Linked DNA regions of Arabidopsis thaliana. The protein of the gene in region 3 interacts with the protein of the main gene of each other region in a pairwise test. Each region holds a gene or a part of one and is shown on either strand. Other genes may lie near its edges.

The links.
Region 1: the proteins of AT2G01818 (region 3) and HB51 interact in a two-hybrid assay, tested with the Arabidopsis thaliana proteins (one large-scale study listed by BioGRID).
Region 2: the proteins of AT2G01818 (region 3) and AT2G35430 interact in a two-hybrid assay, tested with the Arabidopsis thaliana proteins (one large-scale study listed by BioGRID).

What each region holds. Positions count from the first base shown.
Region 1 is NC_003076.8:1,003,042-1,007,148, forward strand, and holds HB51 (homeobox 51), read left to right. Parts: upstream 1-1,740; 5' UTR 1,741-1,943; coding exon 1,944-2,061; intron 2,062-2,613; coding exon 2,614-2,969; coding exon of another isoform or gene 2,970-3,077; exon of another isoform or gene 3,078-3,098; coding exon 3,099-3,332; 3' UTR 3,333-3,590; downstream 3,591-4,107. UniProt on the Arabidopsis thaliana protein: Putative transcription factor.
Region 2 is NC_003071.7:14,900,186-14,904,391, reverse strand, and holds AT2G35430 (Zinc finger C-x8-C-x5-C-x3-H type family protein), read left to right. Parts: upstream 1-2,006; 5' UTR 2,007-2,134; coding exon 2,135-2,648; intron 2,649-3,133; coding exon 3,134-3,378; 3' UTR 3,379-3,688; downstream 3,689-4,206. Other genes in the region: AT2G35450 (catalytic/ hydrolase), read left to right, coding at 1-81, 167-220, 297-374, 463-560, 655-712, 803-924, 1,035-1,191; AT2G35420 (RING/U-box superfamily protein), read left to right, coding at 3,913-4,206.
Region 3 is NC_003071.7:352,844-357,374, forward strand, and holds AT2G01818 (PLATZ transcription factor family protein), read right to left. Parts: upstream 2,752-4,531; 5' UTR 2,528-2,751; coding exon 2,519-2,527; intron 2,072-2,518; coding exon 1,805-2,071; intron 1,671-1,804; coding exon 1,512-1,670; intron 943-1,511; coding exon 709-942; 3' UTR 501-708; downstream 1-500.

The DNA.
Region 1 (4,107 bases), on a different chromosome or scaffold from region 3:
CGAAGACTTTTTACGTAGGGTCTTAGCTAAAATAGTGAAATTTGCATATTATTTTTTTAAGAAAATAGAGTATGAAATGTTGTTATCAAACGGATCCTTTACAATGAATGCAATCATCGAAAAAAAACCATAAAAATATTCTTAAAAAAATTATACACTATGAAAACTGTGATGTCTCATCTCTTTCAAGGGTTTAGGCTTAAAAGCTTCCCTTTTCTCTTATACACTGTCGTTAGTTTTAAATCTCATTACTTATCATCAATCTGTTCAAACCCTATCTACTTTTAACATAGAAAAAGATTCCTTTCCTTCCCTCTCTACCCTTCTCTCTCCATCTCTTACACTATTTACACATCAACAATTTGTTAAGTAGCAATTGAATATGAGAGAGAGAGATATAGGGAGAGAGATTGTGTGTAGAACTGCAAGTTAATAAAGAATGTGGGGGTAAAGAGTACACAGTAGATGAAGACAATGAGACTTAGTTTTCAAACTTCTTCTTTGCTTTGGCTTTTATTGGTCATATCAGACTCTTTATTTATAGATGATCTACTTAGCTCTCTGTGTTGATTCTTAGCTTTCAAAGGTAGCTTTTGGCCTCACCCTATATACTCTATACAGGTTACTGCACATATACATTGGTATGGACTTGCCACTAGTGCCAAACCTTTTGCACATTAATTTTCACATATATATAAGTAGATTTAGATGGTGTATATATAAGACAAAACAATAACTGAAAATCTTAGGACCAAGAATGAAGGCATAACCAAAGAAGGGGGGAACCACATTGTCAGTTTTTATGGAGTTTTTGGGGGACCATTAGTTTCGTTTCACTCTTTCTCTTTCACTTATTTAAGCTTAACTTTGACAAATACGTACCCCCACCTATATTACTACACGAAATTACAATATATTTATATATAAAATCTCATCAATTTCTTTTCAACTACATTTATGTTTCCATGTTTATAAAATTCAGTCAATTAAGACGGTGGTTTAAATGTTAAAGGCCACAAGTAGATTTATGTGAATGTTAAAAAGTCCCAAGTTTAGAAATTCCGTCAAATATAATTAATCCATGCAGATTTTGATTTACCATTTATTGGTTTACACTAGATTTTCAAAAGGAATATTTGGTGCATTCACACAAGGCTCAAGATTGTTTGTTTTTTCTTCAAAAAATATGATATTATCAAAACCTCTAATTTTGTAGCAAAATCAATTTTATTTAAATCTAAAACATGTATTGTCTTGGTTGGTTCACATCATCTTGCAAACTCTGTAACACTATAAATTGTTACAATTTGTATGTTTATCGAAAAAGCGCAACGATAATATTGACATAAACAAGTAGATTAGGTGTCATGATAGTATATATATTATAAAAAAACTAATACGAAAGAAAAAACAGTTTCCCGAAAATAAATTAAAAATTCCAAGTTTGACCCTTGGACACAACAAAATATATCAACCTATATTAATGTTAGAGAGATGATGGATGATGATTGATGATGTGCAAATGAGACAAAATTATATCACACTTTCCTTTTCAATCTTTAAATTCCAAAACAAAAGGTACTGTTGGGTTGCTCCCTTATTAGGTGAAAAAAACCTCACACAACACAGACAATTTCACTCTGTCTCTTTCACTACACCTCTATATCTCCCTCTAGATACATATCCCTATTTATATATGTATTGTTTCGAACACTGCGTGCTCTCACACTTTGTTACACCTCCAAAAGACAAAGTACATAGAAGAAGAAACTTCTTGTCACGCCTCTCTTACCCCTTCCCTTGTGGTCCAATAAAACCCTAATTTTCTTTTCTTTCTTTTATCCATTGTATTAGATCCTATATCTTTCTTCCTTATAGACCATCTCTCATGTCTTCTTATATATATTAAGATATTCACAAGAACTACAAAAGAAAGAAAGGAGATGGAGTGGTCAACAACGAGCAACGTAGAAAACGTGAGAGTAGCTTTCATGCCACCGCCATGGCCGGAGTCTAGTTCCTTTAACTCGCTCCACAGCTTCAACTTTGATCCTTACGCAGGTATATTCACACACCATCGTACCAAGTCTGCATATGTTACATGCTTTCGTTTTTTTTACTTTTAGATGTGTTTAATTCCATATTTGACGAATTCATGAACTTTAAAACCTTATTTATCCCACTTGCAAATGTTCTCAAGAAGTTTTTTTTTTTCTGTGAATGATGTAAAGAATTTCAAATATGACGTCCCTAAACTTCATTCCAAATGTCAACTAAAACGTTACTTTTCTGATGAGAAGCTAAGATTTTCTTATCTTCAGTCTACAATATCTATAAATAAAGTTTCTTACTTTTTTCTTGGGATCCTACAAAAACAATTTCTTGGGATCCAAATGCAAAAAGGTAAAACGTCACTTTTGAAAAGTTGAGATTCGTTTATGGTATAGTTCACTCTAAGAAAAATGGTTGCGGACATAATTTTATTCTTCTTATACTTTTGGAAGTTTTTTTTTTTTTTTTTTTTTTTTCGTATAATGATTATATTGTTGCGCTTCTATGTTTAAATATTTCCTTTTATCCTTTCGGGGCGTTTGCTAAAATGTTTAACAGCAGGAAATTCATATACGCCTGGCGATACACAAACCGGACCGGTTATCTCTGTACCGGAATCAGAAAAGATCATGAATGCGTACCGATTTCCGAACAACAACAATGAGATGATAAAAAAGAAGAGACTAACGAGTGGACAATTAGCTTCACTTGAGCGAAGTTTTCAAGAAGAGATCAAATTAGATTCAGACAGGAAGGTGAAGCTGTCGAGAGAGCTCGGTCTGCAGCCACGTCAGATAGCAGTTTGGTTCCAAAACCGCCGTGCACGGTGGAAGGCGAAGCAGCTTGAGCAGTTGTACGACTCGCTTAGACAAGAGTACGACGTCGTTTCTAGGGAGAAACAAATGTTACACGATGAGGTTTGTGTATTATATTGCACAAAATTAAAATCATGGGATCTAATTACATATTATCGTTTTCTTAATTTATCCCTTAAAGTCTTGATTCTATCAGATTGCCCCCCTTAAAAAATTGGATTGGTGGTGCAGGTGAAGAAGCTGAGAGCTTTACTAAGAGACCAGGGTTTGATCAAGAAGCAAATCTCTGCCGGGACCATCAAAGTTTCCGGTGAGGAAGACACGGTGGAGATTTCATCGGTGGTGGTAGCTCATCCAAGAACGGAGAATATGAACGCAAATCAAATCACCGGAGGGAATCAAGTTTACGGTCAATACAACAATCCGATGCTGGTTGCTTCCTCTGGCTGGCCGTCATACCCCTGATAGATGTTGCTGATCTCAGAGAGAGGGAAAGAGAATGAGAGAACGAGAGAAAGAGAGAGAGAGAGATTGTGTCAAATAGAGCTTTAGACTAGGACTTTAGTAGTGTTATAGACTAAGACAAGCTTTCTCTCATTGTACGATCTTAAAACATAAATGGCACGTTCTTGGATGCGAGATTGAGTCTGAAAATTGTTGAGTTGGTTTTGTTGAACAACTATACTATGAACACTCAGAATTGGCGAATGTCCGAAACAAAACTAGCTATAAACCAAAATAATGACGAGAGTAAACGAGATTGTACAAATCTTGACACTGATGCTCAGCATTTTCCGCTTCCCTTCACCGAACTTGAGACCTCTTGACGCAAAAAAAAGCTGCTTAGGCTTTGTGTGTGTGTGTGTGTGTGTGTGTGTTGTAGCTTGGTAAAAAGCTAATCTTTATATGTACATGACTGTCTCCAGGTAAGCTTTGATTGAAGAAGGCTTTAGTTGTTAAATATTTAAGAACTTTACATTTCGAATCAGAGATCATAAAAATTGTAACCTTGACAGTATTCCAATAACTGTCTCATATTGATAAAACATCAGACGCAAAAGCCATAAAGTGATCAGAAGTAGTACGAAGCTGCCACTCCATTGTTTATATTTGGAACCGTCGTTGCTAGTTTGTTTGGGCCTAGTCAGGAGTTATTTTGGGCCTAACTAAGAGTCAGTGAATCTGAGCTTAAAGTTTGGTAAGATGTGTAACTTGTAATGGGCCAATCAAATTTTGAACC
Region 2 (4,206 bases), about 15 Mb from region 3:
TCAAAGTTTGTCGGTTGTTGCCTTGCTAATCCTGCAGAAGATGGCAGTGGAATTACGCACCTTGAGAATCTTGTTTTAGAGGTCTTCCCTTTCACTGTTACTCAAAGCATCTCCAAATATTATATATGCATCTCATTTCTGAGAGTACTTAAATCTTTTTTTGTAGAGTAATTATCGTGCTGTTCGGTTTAATCCCTACTTGTGGCCATCGGGTCAGAAGGTAACAGTTTAACCATTCCAATGACCTTAGATCAAGTTTCCACCGTATTCTGTTGATTGTCAATGACTCAACACAGATGACAAATGCTGTTGGTAAAGCCTTGTTCTCTAAAGCAGGGGAGCTTTGTGTGCCTGTTGGCTTCATGTGCATGAAGGTCTGGTAGTATTTTCACCTTTGTGGTCTCCAAAGTTGTGTGGTTTACGCGAAGTTCTTTCGTTAAGAATCTTGTTTTCTTTATTCAGGGTCTAGATCTTCACATTGCAGAAATTGAGGAACTTTGCACAGAATTTCCAAAGACAACTGTTTTACTAGATCACGCTGGATTCTGCAAAGTACCAGAGTGAGCTGTTCTTTGCTTTTTGTGAAAAATAATCCCGTCCCCTGAAATTCCTATAGAATGTAGTACTAATATTCATGGTTTCAACAACCTGCAGAAGTGGTGAGGCAAAGCTTGCTTATTCTCAACTCATGAAGCTGTCTAGATTTCCACAGGTGAAAAAGAAAAAAAAATTACTTTTAGAATCTGAATTCTCATAGATTATAGATTATACGAGTCTGAGGGAAGAATATTGTAACAAGCAGGTATATGTGAAATTCAGTGCTCTATTCAGGATCTCAAGAACCGGCTTCCCGTATCAGGACCTATCGCCTCTCCTATCTCAACTTGTGTCCCATTTTGGGGCAAATCGTGTCATGTGGGGCAGGTAAACATACTTATTTACCTCGCTTTCCCGACTAAAAACCACAAAAAACCTTCTATATCTACTAACAATACATGATCATATACGGATTGGCTGTTTTCCATCTGCTGCAGTGACTTCCCATTTGTTGTTCTTGAATGTGGATATAAAGAAGCTAAAGAAGCTGTGACTATCATTGCAAAAGAAGCATCCTTGTCAAGTTCTGAGATGGACTGGATTCTGGGAAAGACTCTGATGCAGCTCTTCCCTGGACAATGGGTTCTTCCTTGAGAGGCTTGTCAGAAGTAATAGGTTGCATGCGGATGAGATAATGAAGCAAGCAATGGAAGTTGTATCATTAAAGATACTTAACTCTAGCCTATATATTACCAAACACTAGATGTATACCAATTTAGTAAATCAACAAAAATCTTATGTGTTGATATCATAATGATTCATCGTGAGATGATGGAGGGCCTGGATGTTGATGTGCTCTGATCGAAAATTTCTTCCACAATGGGTGAGCTGCTAGGATCCCCTTTCCGTGTTCAATGAGGTGAGGTGATAATTTATAATCATCGGTGGCTTTGCTGGGACATTTATGAGGGATAAGTTTCAAGAATCAAGCTTCTCTCCAGTAGCTTGTTTTACAAGTAAGTAAGAGTTGGCGTCTCCGGTTATAATTTATACCCGTGTAAGTTAGTTTCATCTATTTACGAAATCGCCATGATGGAGTATCGAGTTGTGCAAGTGATAGCAATGTGGAATTCAAAGAGACAATTGAGTTTTCTTTGAGAATTGAAAGAAGTGGTGATCGAGATTAGTCAGCATTGTAAAACTTGTTTGGGTTGGATTCTTGAAATGTACAAGCGCGGTTTCATATGGTAGAATCGATTCAGAGAGTGTGAAGTGAATTTACACAACTTGCTAAACTAGTAGAGCAAGTGAAGCTCTTAAAAATAGAAATCCTCTCTGCCTAACAACTTTTGTTTTACTCGTCTTAATTATCAACATTAGTTAAACTTCTTTCTTTTATTTAATCTGTGACCATTATTGATTTTATAGCTAATCACATTTTGATCCTTATATAAATGCTACTACTAGTACGATTTTGAGTGGCTTTACTCTACTTTACTTTCCACTTCCTCTTCATCTACTCTTTCTCTCTCTATCTCTTTCCACTTCCTCTTGCTTTTACTCCTGGGTTAGGGTTTAGGGTTTCTTGGTCGACGTGATGAGTCATCGGCGAGATTACGGCAGTGATGCAGTTCACGTGAGAATCACCCACGACCCTCCGCCTGAGAATTGTTTTCCAAATTCCGGCGACAGTTCCGTCTGGGCCACTGAGGATGATTACAGCCGTGTCTGGGCCATAAACTCTGATGGCGCAGAGTCTCCGAGCAAGAAGACACGATCTTCCTCCTCCTCCGAGATCGGGAAATCGTTCTTCAAGACGAAGCTTTGCTTCAAATTCCGCGCCGGAACTTGTCCCTACTCCGCGAGCTCTTGCCACTTTGCTCACAGCGCGGAGGAGCTCCGTCTTCCTCCGCCGCCGCCGCCCAATTGGCAGGAGACGGTGACAGAGGCTTCAAGAAACAGAGAAAGCTTTGCGGTTAGTTTAGGCCCTCGTGGCAATGTTGCTCAGACTCTCAAGTCTCCGAATTGGAAGACAAGGATTTGCAATAAGTGGCAGACTACTGGCTATTGTCCTTTTGGTTCTCACTGCCATTTTGCTCATGGACCTTCAGGTAAAGCTACGGCCTTTTTCATCTATTAGTAACCCCAACGAATGTAGTTTAGAAATGGGTTTTAATCGGTGTTGCTTGATGAACTGTGAGTTTAGAGTGTCACTAGAGGTTAATGGATGCTAATTCTCTGGACTAAGAGATCATCTTTGAACACTAGAACTATCTTTATTAGCTTAAGTTAAGTCTGTTGAATTGTATATGTAATGGTATTGGTTTCCTTGAGGATTCTTTATATGGACTGTGGGTGCCAATTAGTTAATCGTGCTTGGTGAATGGATTGGTGACAATGTCTATTAATGGACTTAAAGTGGATCGAGTGAGATTGTTGAAATGTTTCCTATTGCTACATTGCCATTACGTGATGATGTCAATTGGTTTCTGATTGGAAAGAATTCTTGATCTGCTTGTTCCTAATGGCTATGGAAATGCAGAAAGTTTCAATCGTCGCTAGCTAAAAGTTTGAGTCTTTATGGTATCTTTTGCAGAGTTGCATACATTTGGCGGAGGACTCGTTGAAGGAGAATGTAAGATCGGAACATCCGCCACTTTGGACACAAAGCAGAGAGGACAAGTAGACACAGTGACTAGCCTTGTTTCTCCTGGAGTCTCATCCCAACGGACATCTAGTGCTGTTACGCAGAAACCCAACGGAGTCAGAACTCAACGGAAATGGAAAGGACCAGATAAAATCAGTCGTGTTTATGGTGATTGGATCGACGATATTGAGTAAAGTCACTGCATTTTCACTGATTTGTTGATCAAGGTATAGCTTCTTTTAGACTTGTAACTGTGTGGACATATTAGCTTCCTCCCTTCTGTGGTTGTAGATTGTGACTCACTCAACAAAGACAAAAACTCTCATCTTTTTGTTTATTCTCTTTGTCAATCCTAAATCTAATCTTGCAGAAGATCAAACCGAACTAAATAATGTTGCGTACTTGTAAACCGGATCATCATTGCTACCTAAACCTTTTTCTTTATTTCCATGGTCAATATTAATTTTTCGTTTTGAGTTATTTTTAACAGTAAAATGATTTATTATTAAGACAACGATTTTAACTGTCACAAAAGACTCGCTCAAAATGGTAAGCAAAGCCACTTCTGTCTCTCAGACATAGCCACTTTATTCTCCTCATTTCTCTCTATTAACTTGAACAATAATACTCCTTTTCTCACAAGGATTTGTAAGAACAACCTTTCTTATATCCCAAGCAATCTACGAAACTGGTAGAATCTGGGGGTTTCTCTAATCATCAACCTTCAAATGTCGTCAACAACATCAATAGATTCAATACCAGCTACTGCTGTTTTCCCTAGTGTTTCCATGCCTGTCACCGTAGTTTTGACCGGTGTTCTTCTCTTTGTAATTTTCGCCGGATTCTTCTCTCTTTTCTTATGGCAGTTTCTTCTGAATCGATTATTTACTACTTGGAACCTTCAACGAACACCTTACGGTGACCTAATCCATGTGGCCACTCCGCCTGAAAATACTGGCCTCGACCCGTTTATCATCCGGTCCTTTCCTGTATTCCACTATTCATCTGCAACTAAGAAAAAT
Region 3 (4,531 bases):
ATAATTTTTCATTTTTATTATAAACCAAAAAGAGAATGTTGCAAAAATACAGGAATAGGAATTGAAATATGGAGAAGTTTACCAAACCATGTAATTTTTACAAATGATAATATCGTAGAAAAATTATGACTTGGCTCCGAATGGTAACGTGCGGTTTAACTGTGGATAAAATGCAGTGCGGTTCTAATAATAACAAAAATATTTACATATATATATATATATTTTTGTTACTGTTCGAACCGCACCACATCATACCGTTCGGCCTGCATTCGGAACCTCAGTCTACGACGAATGATACCATCATTTGTCATTACAACGTGTATCTATCAATTCATCCCAAAAAGCGTTAAGAATATTGCATAATATTCATTTTTATATATTGTATTTCATTAAAACTGTGGGTTCCAGTGAATCAACACAATCTCATTCTCATGAACCAAAAAAACTTTTTGGGCCCATATCTCTCTCTCTTTTCTCCATGATGAATAATAAATAAATCACTCATACATACGCATTACACATCACTATTATTATTTTTCTTTGTATCACTATTTTTTTAGCCTATTAGCAAAAAAATAAAACATCACTATTTCTCATCAAAACTTATTAACTTGTTAAAATAATATTGATAGCCGATATAATATCTTTTTCATAGATAAAATACACATAATGTATGGCTTTGATGACAAATCCAAAGAAAAAAAAAAATCAATAGAAAGGAGATCTTCGAGAAATTCCTTTTCTCTTGAGTATTCTCAAGAGTGGTCTAAATGAAAAATCACTCAATAAAACTTCAGAATCTTCTGAAACATCAGTGAGGGACGATGTGCACGATTTTTTTTCTTCTAAGCTTCCTTCTTGAGTAGAGTGTTCTTTCTCCAAAACACTCTGTTCTAGTTTTGGAGAAAAACAAAATTTATGCTTTTTTGAAGGAGTTGAAATCTACAAAAAGAAAATATATTAAAAAAAATGTCTTTCAACTATTAGAGAGCATGCTCTAAACTCAAAAGCAAATTCTTATATTTGACTTCAAACAATATACGCAAATTTAACGTTTTAAAGCGTGTTTATACAACTCACATGTATTAAGTGATTTCAATTTGTATTAAATGATACTTGTTAATGTAGATTACGTTTTTCGAAATTATATATTGTAATTTCAAAACAATGATTTTTAAGAAAAGTATTAAAATGAAACACTTTTAAAAAATATTTGCGCATCTTCTAACCGAAAACAAAACTATACACATTTTTGAGTGTGAACAAGACAATGTACAGTTGAAAATGTGTACAATTCAAATCACTCATAATTTTCCTATATACTATGTCAAAACTATATGCCTCAAGACTAACTTTTTTTTATCATTTCAAGATTATTCTGTAAATGATTGTTTTATATGTTTGATAACTACCAATAAATAAAAGATTAAGAAAGGTAGATGACTACCAATAGACTAATCAACACAATTCAAAGGGAAATATAAACTTTAACAAAAGATACCATAAATTACCTTGCAGGAGATAGAGCAAAAAAGATTAGGATGATCCTGAATATATCTTTTACAAGTCACACATGAAGCACCATTCTTGGCTTTTGTTGAAGGTCTTGCATCTTTTGCTTGTGGCCTTGAATTCAAATGTATTGCCTTCTCTCCATTTATTTTATATGTCTTTTTCCCCCATACATAAATTATTGCCAACCAATACCAAAATTAAAAACATTAATTTGGAACTCTAAAACAAGAATTCAAATGATTATTTTATTAATTATTGAATGATTTAGATATTTAAAGAAAAAAAAAACCTGAATCTCGGAACAGTCGAAGTAGTTTTGGATTTCGAGGAGACGAATAACATCTTGGTAAACGTATTTGCAGATCTGAAGACGACGATGGAGGAAATGAGAATCTGTAACTGTGTTACAACAATGTCTGCATATTTCCACATTACAATCAATGCAAAACACATTCTTCTCGTTCTTTCTAAGATACTTATGATTCATACATATCCCAAAGAACTCTGAGTTCAGTAGTGTTTCAATCCAAACTTCTTCACTTCTTCTCTTCTCACTCTACAAAAATTATTGCTATTACTTTTTTAGATTTGCATAAACTTAATTATGATTTATAATGAATTACTATGAAGAAGAAAAAAACATGAATATTATCCGGAAAAAAACAATCTGTACAAATTTGAAACTTTATTGACTTTATTTTTTTTATATGAAGAAATTTAAAACTTGAATTAGAGAGATCAGTTTACAATTAGGAAAAGAAAAAAAAAATAAAACTACATTTTTGAAGGATATGGAATCTGCAGAAATTTTACTTTTTATTGAAATTTATAAAGAATTTATAAATGGGCTATATGAAGAAATCATAACTATAAATTTTGCAGAAATTTTCTTGTTTCTAATTTATATTGAAACTATGAACTTGAATTGAAGGGATTTGTTTTCAACAACAACAACAACAAAAACTAACACTGCAGAAATTAATAAGAAAAAATGAGCATGTACCAGATTCATTTTGGTATGAGAAACTGAGTTCCTTTGATAGATCAGATGAGAAGATTTTATATTTCTCCGATCAAAATCATCCAAAAATATTTTAGTGTTCTTGGAGGAGAAGAAGAAGAAGAAGAAGGCCAAAAGCAAAAAGAAGAAGAGAGATGTGATTTGATTTGTAGTGTGAATAAAAATAGTAGAAGAAGGCAAACGAAATATTAAAGAAATGATATTAGGAATGTTTCAATTAATTACATATTGTGTTTTGTGGAGAATAATAAATTAAAAAAAAGGAAACTAAATGACAATTAATATTAAAAATGAGGGAAAAATCAAAAGTCCACAGAGTCAACAATAACTGTGACTCTTTAATACCTAAAATGGATACCAGGCGGGAATATGAAGCATGTGTAACTTTTAAATTACTGTTTTGTCTCTAGATAAATCGATAAGTATGTTTTTAATACGAATGAAATCCACTAATTAGGTCATTAATATGCAAATTGTAATAATTAAAAATGAGTGGACATAATTTGACTTTGAGGGGCAAAAAGTTAAGTCTTTATAATTTAGATGGTGCGATAAAGGTAAGCAAAGCTTCCTATATTTACTCCGAAATTTCCAAGGAAACAACTTATCAAATTTAGAATTATATCATTTTCTACATATACATAGATAGGAATATTTGATGTCAAAAATAACCGTTCCAAAGTGCACATAATAATATCTTAGGCAAATTCAAATCCAGCACATACATACTATACTTATGGAGAGACTAGATTATTGCTTGATGTTCGCATACATAGACAATTGAAATTTAAATAGATTGGTGAAATTTGTTACAGATTTAGTTGAAAGTATCCTAAAAAATATCTTATCATTTGCTCATAATTTATAAATTAAAAAAAAAGTATATCACTTGAAAATCGTTAAGATGAATATTAAAACCAGAAAGTAATAGTAAAGTATTTTGATAATGAGCATAGTAGCATTTATAGATTATATAAAATTGAAATTATAAGTTTAGGTAGATGTTTCTATGGCATTCCATCTTCGATACAACATATGACAGAAAGTTTTCCCTATTCGAGATAATACGTATGCGGGTTTTCACGTTTTTACGTTTTAGAAATATGATTTAGTTGAATACATACCATTTGCAAAAACTTGCGATGATTATTAAAACGTGGAAATAATATGTGTTTGTTCAATTTATCTTGCACGTTTTAATACAGATTTTTCGTCTCAACGTTGTTGATCTATGCTGATAGTAGCACTGGATGAAAGATTAGAAGAAATACAACAAAAATGAACATACCACTTGGCATGGTGACTCAATGATGTCTTAACCCTAACTTTATTTTTTGTTCTTGAATTAATCTAGTGTAATATTGAATACAAATCCATAAGATAATAAAATAATATATATTTTTAAAATTATGTATTAAATGTATGATCACATCAATATTATAAGTTAATAATTATACAAACTTATCAATATATATCTAAAATAATTAGTGACATATGAGTATATAACTCTAGTATTGTTTTTGTTGTTGAATCTGCATTATATTGGAGCTCATATCTAATCTTTTTTAACTACATCAAAAGCTGTGAATGGTTTATAAGTGATAATTGGTTCCTTACATGTAAACGGTTAAGTTTGCCTAACTTAGTTCCAATTATTGGTGTCACCTTTGATGTTTAGATTTTATATCATATGATCAGTGAACCTAAATAGTAGATGCTTAATATTATGAAGATTGGATTGGACAGTGTGCTTTATAAAATGAGGGACACCAAAATCATGTATTTCATTAGAAGGGAAGGACCAACTGGCTCATAGCAAATTGAATGAATACGGAGACTGCTTTGATATTCCAGTGGGTGTATGGTCCAAAGTCCAAACCCATAAACACATGGCTTTATTGGACTTGTGGGCTTGGAATACAAAATGATTTCTCATAGAAAGTGTACTTATAGTAATCTACTTGCTTAAACCCCTAAACACATGTTAATAACTTA